Mus musculus: one gene and its partners. The protein of the gene in region 4 interacts with the protein of the main gene of each other region in a pairwise test. Links are inferred from orthologs where the notes say so. Each region holds a gene or a part of one and is shown on either strand. Other genes may lie near its edges. The genes, in order: Zkscan17, Gnmt, Dvl2 and Arr3.

Region 1 (4,252 bases), on a different chromosome or scaffold from region 4:
CAGACTTCCAGGGCTGGCTCTGTGCTACAGATTGTGCAAGGAGAGAGAAGCAGAGAGGGCCAACAGGGAGCCACTCCTGTTGCCCTGCATAACTAGGAAAACTCCTGCTGCTCCCCATAACTTGAAAAATGAGCACTTTGCAAACCACCACAGGGTTCTGGAAGTCTTTTCAGATAGACAATGGGGGGCTATCTCAGGGAAGGCTGGGTTTAGGATGGCCCGATCAATTTGATATTCAACCCCTGAAAATCCAGGAACTTGTCTCAGCATCTAAATATGCTAAGAATACAGTGTTACAGGCCTGTAATCCCAGCCTTTAGAAGAGGCAGGAGAATCGGCCAGCCTTTAGGATGAGACCACCATGTCTCAAAAAATAAATACAGGGCTGGTGAGATGGCTCAATGAGAAAGTGCACTTGCTGCTAACACAATGACTTGAGTTCAATCCCAGGGACCTACAAGTCATCCTCTGACTATCACATTTACAACAAAGCATGTTTGCACCGGTATTAAGTGTTCACATAAAAAAAAAAAAAAAAAAGCCTAAATGAAGGCTAAAAGGCTAAAACTGGCAGTTCAGTGAAGGGAGGGCCCATGTGGACCACTTGTGAACTTGTCACCTGCACAGTTCCAAAAAAGGCTGTTTAAGAAGTTAGTGTGGATGCAGTTAAAGAGAATCCTGTACCTTATTGAGAATGTGAATTAGCACAGCCATTAGGAAAAACAGCAGGTCTTCAAAAAATGAACAAAACTGTTATTACTGAACAATCCCTCTTGTGACTAGAAACCACAAAAGAAATAAAATCTCAAAGGGGCAAGTCACTGTCACGTTCCCTGGGGAATCAGGCACAATAGCTGTCAGAGGATCACAGTGTCTATCGGCAGATGGATAGATAAGAAAATACGGTCTACGAGAGAGAAGATTGGTTAAGAATAGGGGAGGACAGGGACACAGAACACCTGGGTGGGAAGGAGGGCAGTAGGGTAGAGTGGGGGAGAAATGAACACAAGGAAGGAGAAGACGATCAATAGGGACAACATAACCTAACACTGTGTGTGTGTGTGTGTGTGTGTGTTCGCGTGCGCGTGCACGAGTGCACAGTATGTATGTATATTAAAGCCATGTACCATCACATCCAGCTGCATATTGTCTCTTAATTTTTTTCCCAGCACGTGGGAGGTAGAGGTAGGTGGGTCTCAAGTTTGAGGATACATAACGAGAGTTTCATGGCAGTCAGGAAGTCCTATCTCAAAAAGAAAAACAACATGAGAGAGACAGACAGAGAGACAGAGCGAGACAGACGGGGAAAATATGCAAGCAAACATATAGACACTTGAGATGCGACTCAGTCATGAAGGGTGGCATCCTATCTTTCCTGTGCAACATGGAAAGCACATCCTAAGAACCAGAGCGGGCACAGGGTGACACAGCACGGGATGACAAGCACCGCTCAATCTTGCTCATATACTGAATTTATATCTGGAAGAAAAGTTTAATTCTGCTCCCTAGTGCCTGCCACCTATTATGGATGGATCAACGTTTCATTCTACCCAGAGGCTACTTTGGCAGAAGAGCATCACAGTTAGAAGCTAGTAGGTCGTCCTAGTGTTAAATGTCTTCCCAATTGCTGACATCAGGAAATTCTGTATCGAGTACTGCCCAAGGAAGCAACCCAAGTCTGAGTGGACACAACTGGTGTTCTAGAAGATCCCTCACAGCAGGCCTCTCCCTGGGCATCCCTCCCCTAGAAGGGCTCATATGTATATAACGGCTGCTCGCACAGTAGTGTTGACTTGGGGGAATGGTCCTTTCCTTATAGTGCCTGATATATTTGAACTATGGTCCCTGTAAATTCACAAGCTCTAATCCTAGGCACCTCAGAATGTGACTGTATTTGGAGGAAGGCTCTCTAAAGAATCAATTAAGTTAAAATGAGTTCATGAGCATGCGCCCAAACTCAACCTAACTGGTGTCACTAAGGAGGGTTATCGAGAAGACAGGCAGATGGAAGATACAGCAAGGAGTGGTTGTCTGTCTGCTAACTCAAGGAGGCTCAGAAGAACCCAAGGCTGACCAGTCAACCTCACAGCCATGAGAGAAGAAACTAACTGCTGTTGGAGAAGCAATTCAACGTGTAGAACACAGGTGGGCAGTGCCACCGCATCAACACAGATGGTCCTTCCAGCCAGAGGGACAGAAGAGTTCTGATTTGTACAGAAGTCAGTAAACACTGGCAGGCAGGAAAATATACACACACATACACACACACACACACACACACACACACACACACTTTCTTTTTTTTTAAAACAAAAGACTCTAATTGCCAACTATGGTTGAGTGGGCCTGTAACTGCAGCACTCAGGAGGCTGAGGTAGGAGACTCACCAGTTTGAGGGCAGCCTGAGGAAGGGATGGGAAGAGGAAGAAAGGAGAACAAGAAAAAACAGAAGCAGGTTTTGTTTTTAGTCTAGATAAGGTGCTGGAGACGGAACTAGGGGTGTGTGCACGCTAAGCAGATGGTCCACCACAGAGCTGTACCTCCAACCACTGAACAGAGTCAACGCCAGAAGTAACAAAAAAAAAATCTCAAAAATGCACCTTTTCCATTATAATTAAGAGTACTGTTGTGGTGGCAAGGCTTATAAGAGGGATACGGGGTCCCTGGGCCTTGAGGGGCCTTGGGGAAGCAAACCTCAAGGAACCTAGAGATGACCTACTGTAACTCAAAGGAACAATGGCTCAGGCTTTGAGTCTAACACTTCCCCCCTCTTTGCAGCTGTTGGATGGTTTAAACAGATACTCAAACCCTGCCACAGGGCACTGGAGCCATCTGCAGGAGAGGCTACTGCTCTCTCCCAGGGGATTTTAGATGTTCTTATAGCTGCAGAGTAACCTAGCCAAGAAAATGTGGTTTCGAGAGAACAGAAGACAGAGCCATGCTCAGATCAGGCCACAGGTCCTGGTTCTACAGTGACTTTCTCTGTCTCCACTGAGAATACTCTCAAAGAAAGAAGACCATATAATCTCACACCATCTGTTCACACAGGCCTTCCCTCTGGGAGGACTCAATACCAAGAGACTCTGTGTCGGTTGCTCTGCAGAAAGACCCAGAACACAGTAATCGTGCACAGTTCAGAGGAGACGAGAAAACAGAATGTAAAAAGGCCATCACTTTAGTCAACACCCAAGCACACTGGTAGTGTATAATTCAACTCTCAAGCTCACACTACAGACTGCATACCTAAGTCTTCGCTAGGCTGGCCTGGTGATCTGCTTAGAAGCCCAGTGCCCTGTACTAGAGCCCCAGGCGGGGCATCAGGGTAGCTCTGGGACTCTGCTGACATTCGTTCTTGTTCCAGGTCCTGAGGCGCAGCAGGCCCGTCGCCATCGTCAATCACCACCGGGTCTTCACAGTGCTTGAGCTGCAATCCCAGAAAGCAGCAGATCAGGGCCAGGTAGAGAGAGAGGAGTATGATAAAGCCCGGCCCATAGGCTCTGCACAGATCTGTGTAGGCCTTCTCCCTTTCTGGTCTTGCCATCCATGGACTTGATGGGTAACAATCATCTCAACTTAGACTTCATAGAGAGTAATGTTTGCTTTCTTAGGAAAGAAAGCAAACTGGGTCTGGACAGAATTTCTCATCTGGGGTCAGAAGTCTCACAGGGTCAGCAAGGGCTCCCCTCTCCCAGACGCCCGGTGCTCACCCACTGCCAGGGTCTCCCTGGCTCCCGTTCCAGAGCCTCTACTGCAGCCACAGCCTGCTCTCCGCTCTCAGGCTCCTGGGCTCGCACCCAGCTCTGGATCTCCCACGGCAGGATAGCCAAGAACTGCTCCAGCACCAGTAGCTCCAGGATCTGCTCCTTCGTGTGCCTTTCGAGCCTCAGCCAGCCCCGGCACAGCTCCCAGAGGCGCTGCAGGGCCTCCCGAGGGCCTGCGGCCTCCTGGTAGCGGAAGCGGCGGAAGAGGCGTCGAGAGGACTCTGGGCTGGGAGGCTCACCCTGAGGGCTGGGGTTCTCTCCAGGAGGACTCCTCATTTTCCTGGGCTCCTCACTTTCCTTTGGAGCCAAGACTCGTGGGCACAGGGCTGTGGGCATGATGGGATTTGATGGGGGTCAGCGGCAGAAGACGACCCTATTTCCAAACAGAAATCACTGGCTTCAATGCTCTGGTCTCCTGTGGCCACTTCTGAGGGGGTGCTAGGCAGAGCCCATGGGAGACCAGCCCTTTGAGGAATTCCTGGGAAATGTAC
Region 2 (4,918 bases), on a different chromosome or scaffold from region 4:
AAGTCACCCAGGACGCTGTGCTGGCACCTGCCCCCAAAGGCTGCTCGCACCAACTCCGTGAAAGACGCCAAACAGTGTGGGTAGTAAGAGAGCCGGAACTTACTGCAACAGGGCCCCCAGCCAGATATGAGGGCTGCTGGCCTCAGGTCTCCCCACCACCACCACCTCTCTCCTGCCAAACCACGTCATACCTGAAGCCAGGAGAGCCATCTCTGCCAGTGCCTGGCACCTGCACTGTGTAGTCCAGGGTTACCATGTGGGCTTTGTTGTTGACTGTCAGTACTGACGTCGTAATGTCCTTGGTCAGGTCACTCTGAGGGCATGGGTTGCGTCATTCCCTGAGCCACCACGGGGCTTCTGGCCCTCCAGCTCCCGCTTCCCATTGGGGGGCAGCCCAACCTTATAGTAGATGTTCTTCCCCGGGGGCGCACAGCCTGTGCTGAGGATATAGTCGTAGTTGCGGTGGTCGATCACCAGCAGGCCCCCGGGCCGCACCATGCTTGCAATGTTCTTTAGTGCCAGCCGGTGCTCGCTCTGGTCACCTGGGTTCCCGGCAGGGCCACAGACACCATCTGCTTAGGCCTCCAGCACCACCTCCCGCCCCTGTCTCCCTCCCAAGTGCCAGCACTAAAGAAGACAGGCAAAATGCAGGTCTGCCTTATCAGGGCAGCAGGCCAGCCATCTTCGGACGTGGGGGAGCTCAAGGCAAGAGCCACAGCCAAGGCCACCAGCTTACCTTTGCAGTCTGGCAAGTGAGCAAAACTGTTCCCAAGGCAGATGACAGCATCAAAGCCATCTCCTGAAAGCACATCTTTGTCCAGCGTCAACCAGTTGGCTTCTTCAATGACTGGAGGCCAGGGCAGGGGTTGGGGGGGGAGTCGAGAATTATAGCACAGCACAGAAGCAACCACCTCCTCCCAGAGACACATGGGGACTCATTAGGGATGGAGAGAGCCACAGTTGGCAAAGCCAGCCCTCCACTTAGGGGCTTTTGTAGGGAGGAGAGACAGGATGTGATAAGACAGTTAAAAGTAGCTCTGTAGGGCCCAGTGACTTGACGTACACCTCTAGACTCTGTTAGACAGGAGCATCACTTAAATCTAGCTTAGCCAAGCCAGGCAACACGGGAAAAGCATAAAAACCGCTGGTAATGCAGCCCAGTGATCAAGGGTCTACTTGGCATGCCCAAGTTCAATGCCTAGCACCATAAATACAACAAACTTGCTCTTACCAGCCGGAATCCTACTCTGATGCCAAAGCCTTCCTTTTTAGGAAGTTGACAGGGACTGTACCGTGCCCTGAGGAAAAACCATTCAGCTCCACAGCAAGAGAGAGCCAGGGCAGAGAGTGACCCTGGAGGTGCATGTCTGGGGGGGCCTGGACAGACAGACTTACCCCAATTGTCAAAGGATGGCTCTTTCCTCCGGTTCCAGCGCTCCTTAAGCGCATATTTCAGCATCTTGTCGCTGGCGTCCACGCTCATCACGCTGAAGCCCTCTTCCACCAGCATGATGGAGTCCACTCTGGATGAGGTCAGAAACGGGGGACTAGAGGACCAGTCAGAGGAGCCTGGGAGGCCAAATGTGTGTGACATTTCCCCAGACATAACATTCCAGAGTCCGTTCCTCTGCTTCCTGTCCCAGGCCATCTCTACTGGTCTCAAGTGACCCATTAAGAATTTTCCTGGGGGCTGGTGAGATGGCTCAGTGGGTAAGAGCACCCGACTGCTCTTCTGAAGGTCCAGAGTTCAAATCCCAGCAACCACATGGTGGCTCACAACCATCCGTAACAAGATCTGACTCCCTCTTCTGGTGTCTGAAGACAGCTACAGTGTACTTACATATAATAATAAATAAATCTTAAAAAAAAAAAAAAAAGAATTTTCCTTATCAAGTAGCAAAAAAATTTTTTGAGAGTTTTTTTTTTTTTGTTTTTTGTTTTTTTTTTAGCCTGGTTTAAACAGTGAGTTCCAAGACAGCTGGGGCTACAAAGAGAGACTCTGTTTCAAAAAAATTTTTTTTCAAAATTTAATTTCATGTGTCGTGCCTGAATATGTGCATCATGTGCATACCTTGTGTCTGCAGACCCCAGAGAGGGTGCTGGGCACCAAATTTGGGTCCTCTGTAAGAACATGTGCCATCTCCCCAGCTGCCTCTTATTAGAAACAGGGTCTCCTAATGTAGCCCTGCAGGGCCTGGAACTCACAGAGAGCCACCTATTTAGGACTCCCTGAGTGCTGGGATTAAATATATGTGCCACTACTCCTGACATCAACACATTTTTTTTTATTTTTAATTATGTCTGTATGTGTAGTACATGTGAGTACAGTGCCCTCCACGGCCAGAAGGGAGCGCTAACCTCCCCCTGGAACGGAATTCCAGGCGATTATGAGCCACCTGATGCAGATGCTAGGCACTGAGAGCCTGTCTTCTGCCAGAGCCTAAGGGGCTCTTAGTAGTCGGACCATCTCACCGGCTCAATGGCTTTTTGTTGTTGTTTTTGTTTTTAAATCATAGTCAGGCATTCTACAAAAGTGCACTTGAGAACCTGGCATACTGGTGCTCCTGGAAATATCTCAGTCAGAGGTGTCCGTGAGTTCTGGGCTGAGTCGGGAGTGTGGGCCAGACACTATCCTGGTCTGTATCCTCTCCACCAAATGGGGGCCTTTTACCTCTTGGAAATGACTTTTTCTTTAGTACTACTGGTTGGAGAAAAGCGCTGCTCACCTCGTGGGGTTTTGTTACAGCTTGCAACACACGTACCCAAACTCCTGGCACAGCACTTGGCTGTGCAAACGTGCTACAAATGTTCTGTTCACACTGCCAGAGGCCAATCGCAGGAGGAACAGCGCCGGAGCCAAGGATCCACCTTGACCCAAAGCTCGGATTTTGCTCTGTCCCATGAATCCTTCTCTGCGCACACCCTGGCCCCTTCCCGCACTGTTTCGGCAGATGCTCTCCCATGCCCATACTACCCTGATGAGCAAGGGCTCTTGACCCCCTAGTACTGCCTGCCAGGCTCCAGCCCGCAGAGGCTGCCCAGACTGGCCTAAGCAGGCCGGCCCGTTTGGACTCACCCTGTGCCACAGGCTACGTCCAGCACCCTGTGGCACCCGTGCTGGCGCAACAGCCCAAGCAACCACGCCTTGTACTCTGCGGTACGGCTGCGGGTGTCCCCGATGTACAGCTGCCACACACGTGCGGCCTCCCCATCTGCATACTGGTCCGGGAGCCCTTCGGCCGCCACCCCCAGGGAGCGGGTACGGTACACGCTGTCCACCATCCTGACCGGCGCCTGGCTCTCAGGCCACGCGATCCGCACTTATAATCCTCTGGCAAGGCAGTCCCACCTGGCCAATGGCAGGTGAGAGCAGGGACACGCCCCTGCTGGGCCCTGGGCCCAGAGCCAGGCTTGCTGCCTCTGCCTTGAGGATGGCTCAGCACAGCAATCCTGGACCTGGCTTAGTAAGACAGGTCAGATAGGACTCGCCAGGGTGGCCGGGAGGAACTCACAAAGTAAAGCAATGAGAGATCACTCCACCCCTACCCAAGGAGGAAGGGGAAGAAGCCTGAAATCCACCCAAAACAGAATTATTACATGCCCAGCCCAGCACAGTGTCTACACAACACTGCTTATCATTTAGTGGAGGGAACACTCCGCTAAAGAGAGCCACTGTGTCGGGACATTATGAACAGTCTTTGAGAAAGATGCCCATCCAAGTACAAGAGTACACCTGGAGATAGGCGTGTCTCTCTTCCCCTCCCCCATACCAGCCAGGAGCCTCCTAAGGTAGCCTGGGCCTTCCAATCCATGGGCTTTATACTCTGCAATCTCTTAAAGGCTGGGTGTAGTAAGGTGAGACAGGAGGATTATTAGTGCTCAATGAATTAGTGAACAATGTGGGAGACATAGCAAGCCTTCCATCTGCTTTCCATGGGAGCACCTTCAGAGAGGAAAGTTGGGGGTCGGCAGGGAAGGTGCTCATGGCGCCCGCTCGGGCTAGCGTCACTGTATAACCTGAGGGTCCGTTTCGTGTTACCCGCTCACCCTTTTTACCCCACCAAGGACAAGATCCCAGCCGGGCTAAAGTCGGCTCTGGAAGATGCGTGTGAGCGACGAGAAGCCTGCCCCGCCTGCCCTGCCTGCCCACACACTTCCAACTCTGTGAACACTCGTTACGTGGAAAGAAGAGAGAAGACAGGGAGCATCCCGCCCGCCCGCCCGCCCGCCCTCCCTTCGCCTTCCCAATGCAGGGTGAACCCTGGAGATGGAAGGAGGCCCACAGTTGTGTGACTTAACCTTCTTATAGTAGGTATGGCTGTTTTGACTTCATAGATGTCAGTATGTGTCTGACGCCCGTGGAGCCCAGAATCGAGAGCTTCAGATACCCTGAACCTGCAGTTGTAGACAGTGGGGAGCCACTCGGTGGTGCTGAGGACACTGAACCCCACAGAGGACCAAGTGGTTTGTTTGGTTTGGTTTGGTTTTTGTGAGAAAGGGTTTCTCTGGCTGTCCTAGAATTCACTCTGTAAACCAGGCTGGCCTCGAACTCAGAGATCCGACTGCCTCTGCCTCCCAAGGGCTAGGGCTAAAAGCGTGCGCTACGACCCTAGCTGCAGATAGGGCTTTTAATGGCTGACCTATCTCTCCAGCCCATATTTTTTAACTTTTGTTAGCACAGCGCCAATCTCAAATGGTTCTGACCAGGCTCAGTCTTGGGGACTCAATGTCCCTACACACAGGCCTCTGACACTATGCTCAGAAAGATTCTCGAGGCTGAGTGTGATGGTGTGTGCCTGTAAGTCCTATACTTGGCAGCTGAGAACAGAAAAGCTGGAGTTCAAAGATATTCTAGGGTACATAGACTTCAAGGCAAATCTGGGCTACATCAGTCCCTGTGGAGACAAAGCAGAGAGGA
Region 3 (4,252 bases), on a different chromosome or scaffold from region 4:
GGCAGGGTTTCACCCTGTAGCCCAGGCTGGCCTCATCCATCTAGAGATCCTCCCGCCTTAACCTCCCAAGTGCCCACGCTCCCCAGATCTCCTAACTCCAGACCCCAGCCCCAGCATCACTCACTTCGAGGGAGGGTGAAGTAGGCCTGGGGAGACGGGTCCCAACACTTGGCCACGGTCAGCACGATGGGGCTGTGGGGAAGAGCAGAGCAGCTCAGGGGAGGGACGAGGCCTCAGGAAGCCCGAGGCCTGGTGGGAGGAGACTGAGGACAGAGAGGTGGGAAAGAAAAGAGCTCACGTTGCTGGGCTAGAGAGAGTGAGGGTGAAGGCCTCCACAGTGCGTGTGACTCACAACATGGCTAAGTTCAAAACACTGCTGCGGGGAACAATGGAGAGCAGAGTGAATGTTCCCTTCACTCACAGCAAGCCTCACCCAGGTAACACCAAACCATCTTGTTCCAGGACTCATGCATGAAAAACCATTAAAGGTTTTCTTGACCAAAGAAGCCAAACGGTAATTATCATCAGTGAGGAGAGGGAGTGGCAAGGAGCACACAGTGGGTGGCCTCTTCTCAGGTGCTCACCCACATCTGCTTCATGCTCTAGTGTGGAGTGACATGCCAGGGAGATTTGCAATTTGTGGGTTTTGTTCTCTTTTGAAAGACGTATTTGTTTTTTTTTATGTACGTGAGTACACTGTCAGTCTCTTCAGACACACCAGAAGAGGGCATCAGATCTCATTACAAATGGTTGTGAGCCACCATGTGGCTGCTGGGAATTGAACTCAGGATCTCTGGAAGAGCAAACAGTGTTCTTAACTGCTGAGCCATCTCTACAGCCCTTGTTTTGTTTGGTTTTTGTTTTCTCGCTATGTAGACCCGGATGGACTGAAACTCACTCTGCAGACCAGGCTGCCTCACACTCAGCCCAACTGTGCCTCAAATAACATGTTTAAAGGCATGCACCACCATGCCTGGCCTCACGTCTTTATAAAAATTGCAAAACAAAGGTAAACAGGCTTAAGCCCAAGAGGCCTGGGGCCAGCCGCACTCACCCTGGCTTGTGCACGATGTCTCTCAGCACTCGTACAGCATCGTCGTTGCTCATGTTCTCAAAGTTCATATCATTTACCTGAAGGGAAGGGGTGGTGGGTCATGGGCAGTGTGGGAGGGGCAGAGCATCCGCCCCAGCCAGCAGCCAGGCCGTCAGCGCACCTGCAAAAGCATGTCTCCAGGCTCGATCCGCCCGTCCGCAGCCACCGCGCCCCCTTTCATGATGGAGCCGATGTAGATGCCCCCATCACCACGCTCGTTACTTTGGCCCACAATGGAGATGCCCAGGAAGTTGTACTTCTCTGTGGAGGGGGGCCATATGACTGAGCCCCAGAAACCCCAAGCCCCTCTCTCTCCTTCCCTTCTCCCCGTCAGGACCCTCCATACCCATGTTGAGCGTGACCGTGATGATGTTGAGAGACATTGTGGAATCGGTGACACTGCTGAAGGATGAGGTCTACAGCGGGGAGACATGAAAGGTGTGAACTGCTCCCCGTCAACAGAGAGAGAAGCCACAAGCTTGTGTTTCAACCAGAGCCCACTTCATCCCAAAAGAACCCTCACCCTCTCCATGCGTGGCGGCCGCTGCTTCCTTCGCCTTCGGTGGCGCTTGAGGAGGCGGGAGGCACTGCTCTGCTCAGTGGAGCTGCTGAACCTGATAGCAATTGAGAAGCATAGCATTTGGAGGTGGAAGTGGTCAGGGAGCCACATGAAACAAGAAGACTGGCTGGGGGGGAGGGGGAGGGGAGGAGGGGGGAGGAGGGAGGGAACAGGGAGGGAAGTGTGCAGCCATACCTACTCATGGTGTCATCCTCATCCGAGTCTCCTAGGCTGGTACTCTCCAGCTCACTGGTCATGAGGGTGGAAGAGCTCTCGTAGCCAGCCAGGTGGCGCTCCAGCCTCGAGGGGCCACCAGGCCTGTGGCCACCAGCTGTGTATAAACAAGAGACTCAGGAGCCAGGCCTCCCCTTCTTCATACCCAGCATGCTAAGGCTTGCCTGTCTGCCCAGCTCAGTCTACCCTGCCTCCAGGGTCCATCCCCTCACCGCCATGTTCACTGCTGTCTCTCCTCCTAGGTCGGTCTCGCCTCAGTGATACGACAGATTCGGTCTCTGTCTCAGGCTCTAGATTTTCATGGCTGCTGGATACATTAGGGCTACACAGGTAGAGAGAGTTTCCAACCAAAGTCAGTCGGACAGAGCACCGGAACCTCAGTCCCCCTCTCTCAAGAGGTCTAGACTGAATTCCCTCTTCGCTCCCATCCCCTGGACTCAAGAATATAAAGGACTCACTGGAAGGATGGAGGCCTTGAGTCCCCAATTCCACTGGTCCTTTCTGGTGGCAAAGGGGGTAAGGGTGGAGGCGGAGGAACCAGTTCTGTCCGAGACTCATGGGCTGGGGGAGCCACCTCAGGCTGTGGGGTATCTGACGACACAAGCTAGAAGAGAGCACGTAAGAAAACATGGTTCTGCTGGGGAGCGGTGTACGAGAAGAAACTAAGGAAAAGGACCAGAAAAGAAGGACACAGGGTCCTGGAGACCTGGGTGAAGAGGCCAGAAAAAACAATCCAGTACGGGAGGCTATAGGAAGAGGAGGCCGAGGAGTGCTCACTGTATCCACATTAGAGAAGAGGGAAGCCAGGCCACCCGCGACTGAGCAGGGGGGAGGCTGCAGAGACAGACTGAGGTTGGAAGCAGCTCAGTAATGAGTCCCCTTACCCAGGAGACAACCCTTCCATTGAAGCAAGGTAGGCGGGCATTGTCATCGGAGATCTCTTCCTTCACCACCCTGCGGAGAGAGCAGAGTGATTAGTAAGGTGCCAGGTGTGATGGGGTACACCTTCAACTAACACTTGGGAGGCCGAGGCAAGAGGCACTCAGTGAGCAAGGGTTTCTCTTGCGCGCACACACACACACACCACACACACACACACACCCTAGATGGGCGGTGGTGGTGCATGCCTTTAATGCCAGCACTCTGGAAAGCAGAGGCAGGTGATCTGAGTTTGAGGCCAGCCTAGTTTACAGAGAGAACCAGGACAGCCAGGGCTCCACAGAGAAACCCCATCTGGGGGTGGGGGTGGGACAAACACGGGGATGGGGGAGATTAGTAAAGCTAAACTAGTCACTCCCATTCCAAATCTCATTCCAAGTCTCTCCCCATCTCCATCCTGCCCAAGCATGGTGACTTGCTGCCCTGACTGACACGTCGTCTGCTTTTCCCCTAATGTATATGTACATGTCTGTGTGCATGGCTGTCACATGAGGGTATTTGCAGAGGACAGGAGAATATTATCTCCCCTGGAGCTAGTTACAGGGAGTCAGGAGCCACCAGTGGGTGCTAGTGCTAAGAACAGAACACAGCGGCATCCTCTAAGCCAACTGTCTATAGACTTCTGCCCTTTTTTTTTTCAGCAGCGGTAGCGACGACCAGGCTGGCTTCAAACTCACAGAGAGCTGCCTAACTCTGCCTCTCCATCCTGGTATTAAAGGCATATGTCACCAAACTTGGCTATGCCACTCAGCCAGCATGCATCACCATGCCCAGCTCCTCTGCTTTCACAGTGAAGTAACTTGCTTTTATACACAAATAAATAAATAAAAATTCTAGACTCTCTCATTTACCACTACCCCAACTCATCCTTAGAGGCACAATGCCACTCCAAAGACTTCTTCCCATTTGATCCAAACCTCAAAGTACCACTCCAAAGTCCCTTTGGGACAGTTCCCACAACTGCTCCAAATATCTAATTTAAGAGCCTGGCTGGCCGCCTAACCATCTCTGTCCTACACATCTGTCCCATAAAAGCCTCTGGTCCTCACGGAACCTGCTGCCTTTGAGTTCTCTCTAATTCACAAGCAGAGCCACCCAAATGTGTGGCTTTTCTGGGTAAAAAATCACCCTTACATGCAACAATAACAGTCCACGTGTGGAACGCTCCCATGGAGCGAGGAAGCTGGGCTTCCCAATTCCGGGCCACCTCACCTCACTAAGCAATCTGCTCGGTCTGAAAAATCCCAAAGCCCAGCCTCCCACAGGTTCCTGTAGTGGACTAGACCTGTTCCTTCCTTCTCATACCCACAAGAAATCATTAGTACCTATTAGATTCAACACATGTCCTGGGTGTGTGGCACAAGCCCTCACCTTTGTAAGCAAATCCATGTAGACAAACTATGAGCCATGAGCCATTCTTTCCCACA
Region 4 (4,252 bases):
GCTTGTGGTTCTTTTCTTTTTGAGATGGGGTCTCGTTGTGTAGCCGTGACTGACCTGAAAGCCACTATATTGACCAGGTTGGCTTCAATTTCAACAGAGATCTGCCTGTGTCTGCCTCCTAAATGCTGAGATTAAAGATGTGTACCACCACACTCAGCCTAGCCAATGCTTCTATTGGGGGGTGGTAGGAAATTTGAGTTGAGACCTCTTAAGAGCAATTGAGGAAGTTTGGTTTTTGGAGACATGCCCTTCTCGACATTCTGTTTGCTCCCTGGGATCAAACCTCTTCTGCCATGTGCTCCCATCATCATATACTATATTTCCAGGAGCCCAAATCAACGGAGTTGTATAGCCATAGACTGAACCATGAGGAAAAAAAAAGAAAGAAAGACAAGAAAAAGCCTTCCCTCCTTTTGAGTTGACTAGGTCATTGGTGGAAAGGTCATTAGCTAATGGTCTTCCTTACCTTTCCTGAATCTTCAGGCCCAGGCTGCAGTGTTACTGAACAGGGCAGGTTAGCAACCATCTAGGAAATCAGAAGGAGCTCAGAAAAATAGGGACAACTCTCTCTGTTCTCCTTTTATCTCTTAATCTTCCCTGGAAACTTTGCCCAAGACTTGAGGTCAGTACCTGAAGTGTAAAAGGATAGGCATTGACCCCGAGCTTGTGCAGAAGCCGCTCCTGTAAGGCTGTGAGGGGGCCCTGGATGCTGGTGGGTTCAGCTGGAGCCACTTGCTTGGTTTGTACATAGAGATCTTTGCGAAATGTCAGACCAATCACATCCAAGTCATCACGGCCATAGCGAAAAGCACAGGTCAACCTGACAAACACTGCTGGCAAAAGAGGAAGAGAGTGAGTGACTTGTCAAACTTGTGACAAAGGAAATCCTAAATGGGGGGAAAGGAAGACCCACAGAGGCAAGCTAGTATAATCCCAAAAGTATAGTCACAAAGAAATATTTGGTTACATTTGATTGCAATAGTATTTTAAAGTTCTCTGTGTTACAAGGTTCACAAAGATAAAAGGAAATTCAGAGTTCAAGTGTTTGAAACACATATAACTGTTTAGCATTTGGAATGTTGAAAGGCCGAGGAGATAGTTCAGTTGGCAAAGAATTTGCTGCCAAAGTATAAGGACTTGGATTTGGTCCCATGGGAAAAGGTGGGGAGCAATGGTACATGCTTCAATCCCAGCGCTGCTAGGTGGAGACGGGTAGATAGATTCCTGAGGCTCTCTGACCACCTAGTCTGGCCTGATCAGTGGGCCCCAGAACAGAGAGAGAGGGGGAGAGATCCACTCTCAAAAAACACCCAAGATTGACCTCCGGCCTCCACACATACCTGTACACACATGAACAAAATAACTGTTACCAATTGGTAACACACACACACACACACACACACACACACACACACACCAATCTAAAAGTGTGCCAAGAACGCAGGTGGATTCTTAGAAGCACATGTGGAATGGCCAAAGATTTGTGTAGTCTCAGTAGTAATCAGATACATCCACATGAAAGCCACAGTGGGATGACATTTCACACAGATCATACTGTCAAAAATATTGAAGCCAGACATTGAGTGTTCATGCTGATGTGGCTCAGTTGGAGTTCAAATGCACGACTGGTCGGAGCTACTGTCATATCACCACAAATGGAACCTTTTCTCATCTTCATTTATGAATGGTGTTTAGACCTTTATTAGAGAAGCCTTGTGTAGCATCCATCTTTTTTTTTTCCAGTTCACCTTCTGTCACCTATGTACACAACATTCCTCCCCTCTGGAGGGCCCAGCAATAAGGCCCAATTTTGCATGCAGAGAGCAGCCTTTACAGAAAATTGAACATGCTACTCACCTTAACTTGGATTTGCCTGGCTACTGAATAGTGAGAAAGTAAATTTCTTTTCCTAATATATTATCTAGTTTTGGGTATTTTGGTACAGCAGCATTAGTCAACTAAGAAGTATATGAATAATTAAATGATTAAATTTCAAAAAAAAAATTCTAGCACCAGAATTAAATGTGCACTGTTAATTTTATATGCAGATTAAAACTGTATATAACAATGTAAAAATTGGTTGTAGACACAGAATGTTAAATATAAGTATACAAGCATCATGGACCAAATAAACACTAAATGTAGGATAGTGGTTGCCTGGGTAGGAGAAAAGACAAGGATAGGGAGAGAGACTCAAAAAGAAGGGCAGAGGAAGCTTTGGGTCTATACTTCTTTTCAAAGCTAGGTGGTAGATATATTTTTTTATGCCTGAAATATTTAATAGTTTAAAAGAGTTAACAAGAATTAGGGTCAGATACCAGCAAGATAGCTCAGTGGGTAAAAGTACTTGTTCCATAAGCTGGTTGACTTTATTTCAATCCCCGGAACCCACAAAACACTGGAAGTGGTAGTTTGCATCTATAATCACTGCATTCAGAAGGTGAGATGCGAGGCAGAGGCAGAGGCAGAATTGGCCAGACATTCACGTTACAAACTTTCTGTGAAACACTAGCTCTCTGGGAATTCAGCCTAAAGAGCGAATTGGATACACACAACGGGTTGGGGGATGCAGAGTTGTTTATAACAGCAAAATATGTTAAAACAAATGTTGAAATGTCGAAAACATGTTGAAAACAAAGGAAATGTCCAACGAGTGGATTTTTAAACGCAGCTTCATAGATTATGGATTCATATATGTTGACATAGACTTAAAAGAAAATTATAAGGTATTTATGGGATTATAAAATTATAAAATAGGGGTTTTTGCACAAAAAAGTAAGTAGATGAAAGCTGAAATGGGGTTAGGAGTAATTAAATTATAATCCCTTCATCTGTGATGGCCTTGAACTCACAGAGATCTGGCTACCTCTGACTGCTACTTTTGCTGGCTGTGTGTTGATTATAGGGATTAAGCCTATGATTTTTGTAGTATTTGATTTTATTTTTTGTATATTTATTTTTGAGACAGGTCTCTCTGTGAAGTTCTAGCTGGCCTGGAATTCACTAAGTAGACCAGACTGGTCTCAAACTCACAGAATCTCATGCACACTAGGTAGCCGCTTATCTTTCTTTGTACTTTCTTATTCTGAGGCCTCAGAGATCTCTCTAAATTTGCCCAGCCTACTCTTGAACTTTTTGTGATCCTCCTGCCTGAGCCCCTCTTGCCCAGGCAGCTGGGATTACAGGCCTGCATTACCAGGCCTGGCAGGTTGCTTTTATTTTCCTCTAAAAGGCAACATCTACTCTAAATGTGTCCATTTTGTCTTAATGATATAAATTACATACACATTTATATGAGCATCAAAAATATAATCAAAAAGAAAAATTCAAAGCTCTACCACAGCACCATTTTTGCAGAGATAAGTGCCATGTTATCTGCTCTGATGCCTTCTAAATTGCTTTGTTTCTACAACTAAACACAAGGCAATCTCAGGTACTTATAACTGTTTTCTCATTTCTTTTCCGAAATTAAACATTTAAAAAAACTTTTGTGACTACTGTTTGTTTATACAGTAAAATTTTGCAGTTGCAAAGAATAGCACACAGAGAGGCCAGATAGAGTGCTATTAAACAGTAGTGTGTGTGTGTGTGTGTGTGTACCATACCCCACATCTTTCGCCTCACTTGACTTTACCACTCAGTGCATAGAAAAGGATGGTTTACATTAAAACATACACCTGTGATGGAGAAGGACTTGAAAAATACGGTCAAAGCAAGATGATGTTCACAAAGTAACAGAGCATACAAGTGGGAGGAAATGTCAGAAATATATAAGATTGAAATGAATAATAAGTCAAAACTCTACCAAAGAGACATAAAAAACTCAAATATATCTAATTTCTGAGTAAGCCTGTAATTTTTGAGAGATAAGTTCTTCCTATATAGTTTTCACAGGCCTCAAAGTCACTTTGCATGCCAGCCTGGCCTTGGACTTGCTTCCTCAGCCTCCTGGGTGTTGTCGTAGATGTTAGTCATCATGCCAAGCAACATGCAGTCTTTAAAAAGTGAATATTTCTTTTCATAGGTTATTCTGGGAAATTTTAGAAGTGCGGGAATAAAACCACTTAGATTTTAGAAACAGAGTATTTGTTACTTATAAATAAGTTGGCTAATTTGTGCCTATTCTGAAAAGTTTCTCTGACATTTGAAATTGTCCAGAGTGCTTATCCGTGGTGCTTAATCTCAGAAAGGAAAGCTCTTTCATTCCCAGTATCTAAAGGCTATTTCTGGACGAGTAGTCACCAACTGGTTC

What was found.
Region 1: the proteins of Arr3 (region 4) and Zkscan17 interact in binary tests that used the Homo sapiens proteins (3 or more experiments, as listed by UniProt). The two-hybrid records come from large-scale screens. The link is inferred for Mus musculus from reciprocal best matches to the Homo sapiens genes ARR3 and ZNF496.
Region 2: the proteins of Arr3 (region 4) and Gnmt interact in a two-hybrid assay, tested with the Homo sapiens proteins (2 studies listed by BioGRID and IntAct). The two-hybrid records come from large-scale screens. The link is inferred for Mus musculus from reciprocal best matches to the Homo sapiens genes ARR3 and GNMT.
Region 3: the proteins of Arr3 (region 4) and Dvl2 interact in a two-hybrid assay, tested with the Homo sapiens proteins (2 studies listed by BioGRID and IntAct). The two-hybrid records come from large-scale screens. The link is inferred for Mus musculus from reciprocal best matches to the Homo sapiens genes ARR3 and DVL2.

The regions. Positions count from the first base shown.
Region 1 is NC_000077.6:59,499,677-59,503,928, forward strand, and holds part of Zkscan17 (zinc finger protein 496), read right to left. Parts: intron 4,135-4,252; 5' UTR 4,098-4,134; coding exon 3,708-4,097; intron 3,425-3,707; coding exon 3,244-3,424; intron 1-3,243. UniProt on the Homo sapiens protein: DNA-binding transcription factor that can both act as an activator and a repressor.
Region 2 is NC_000083.6:46,725,870-46,730,787, forward strand, and holds the start of Gnmt (glycine N-methyltransferase), read right to left. Parts: upstream 3,297-4,918; 5' UTR 3,283-3,296; coding exon 3,077-3,282; intron 1,524-3,076; coding exon 1,396-1,523; intron 848-1,395; coding exon 737-847; intron 543-736; coding exon 400-542; intron 314-399; coding exon 192-313; intron 103-191; coding exon 1-102. UniProt on the Homo sapiens protein: Catalyzes the methylation of glycine by using S-adenosylmethionine (AdoMet) to form N-methylglycine (sarcosine) with the concomitant production of S-adenosylhomocysteine (AdoHcy), a reaction regulated by the binding of 5-methyltetrahydrofolate.
Region 3 is NC_000077.6:70,003,393-70,007,644, reverse strand, and holds part of Dvl2 (segment polarity protein dishevelled homolog DVL-2), read right to left. Parts: intron 2,841-4,252; coding exon 2,771-2,840; intron 2,491-2,770; coding exon 2,345-2,490; intron 2,209-2,344; coding exon 2,099-2,208; intron 1,984-2,098; coding exon 1,848-1,983; intron 1,708-1,847; coding exon 1,617-1,707; intron 1,510-1,616; coding exon 1,440-1,509; intron 1,355-1,439; coding exon 1,215-1,354; intron 1,132-1,214; coding exon 1,055-1,131; intron 193-1,054; coding exon 125-192; intron 1-124.
Region 4 is NC_000086.7:100,608,326-100,612,577, reverse strand, and holds part of Arr3 (arrestin-C), read right to left. Parts: intron 834-4,252; coding exon of another isoform or gene 831-833; coding exon 631-830; intron 527-630; coding exon 467-526; intron 1-466. UniProt on the Homo sapiens protein: May play a role in an as yet undefined retina-specific signal transduction. Could bind to photoactivated-phosphorylated red/green opsins.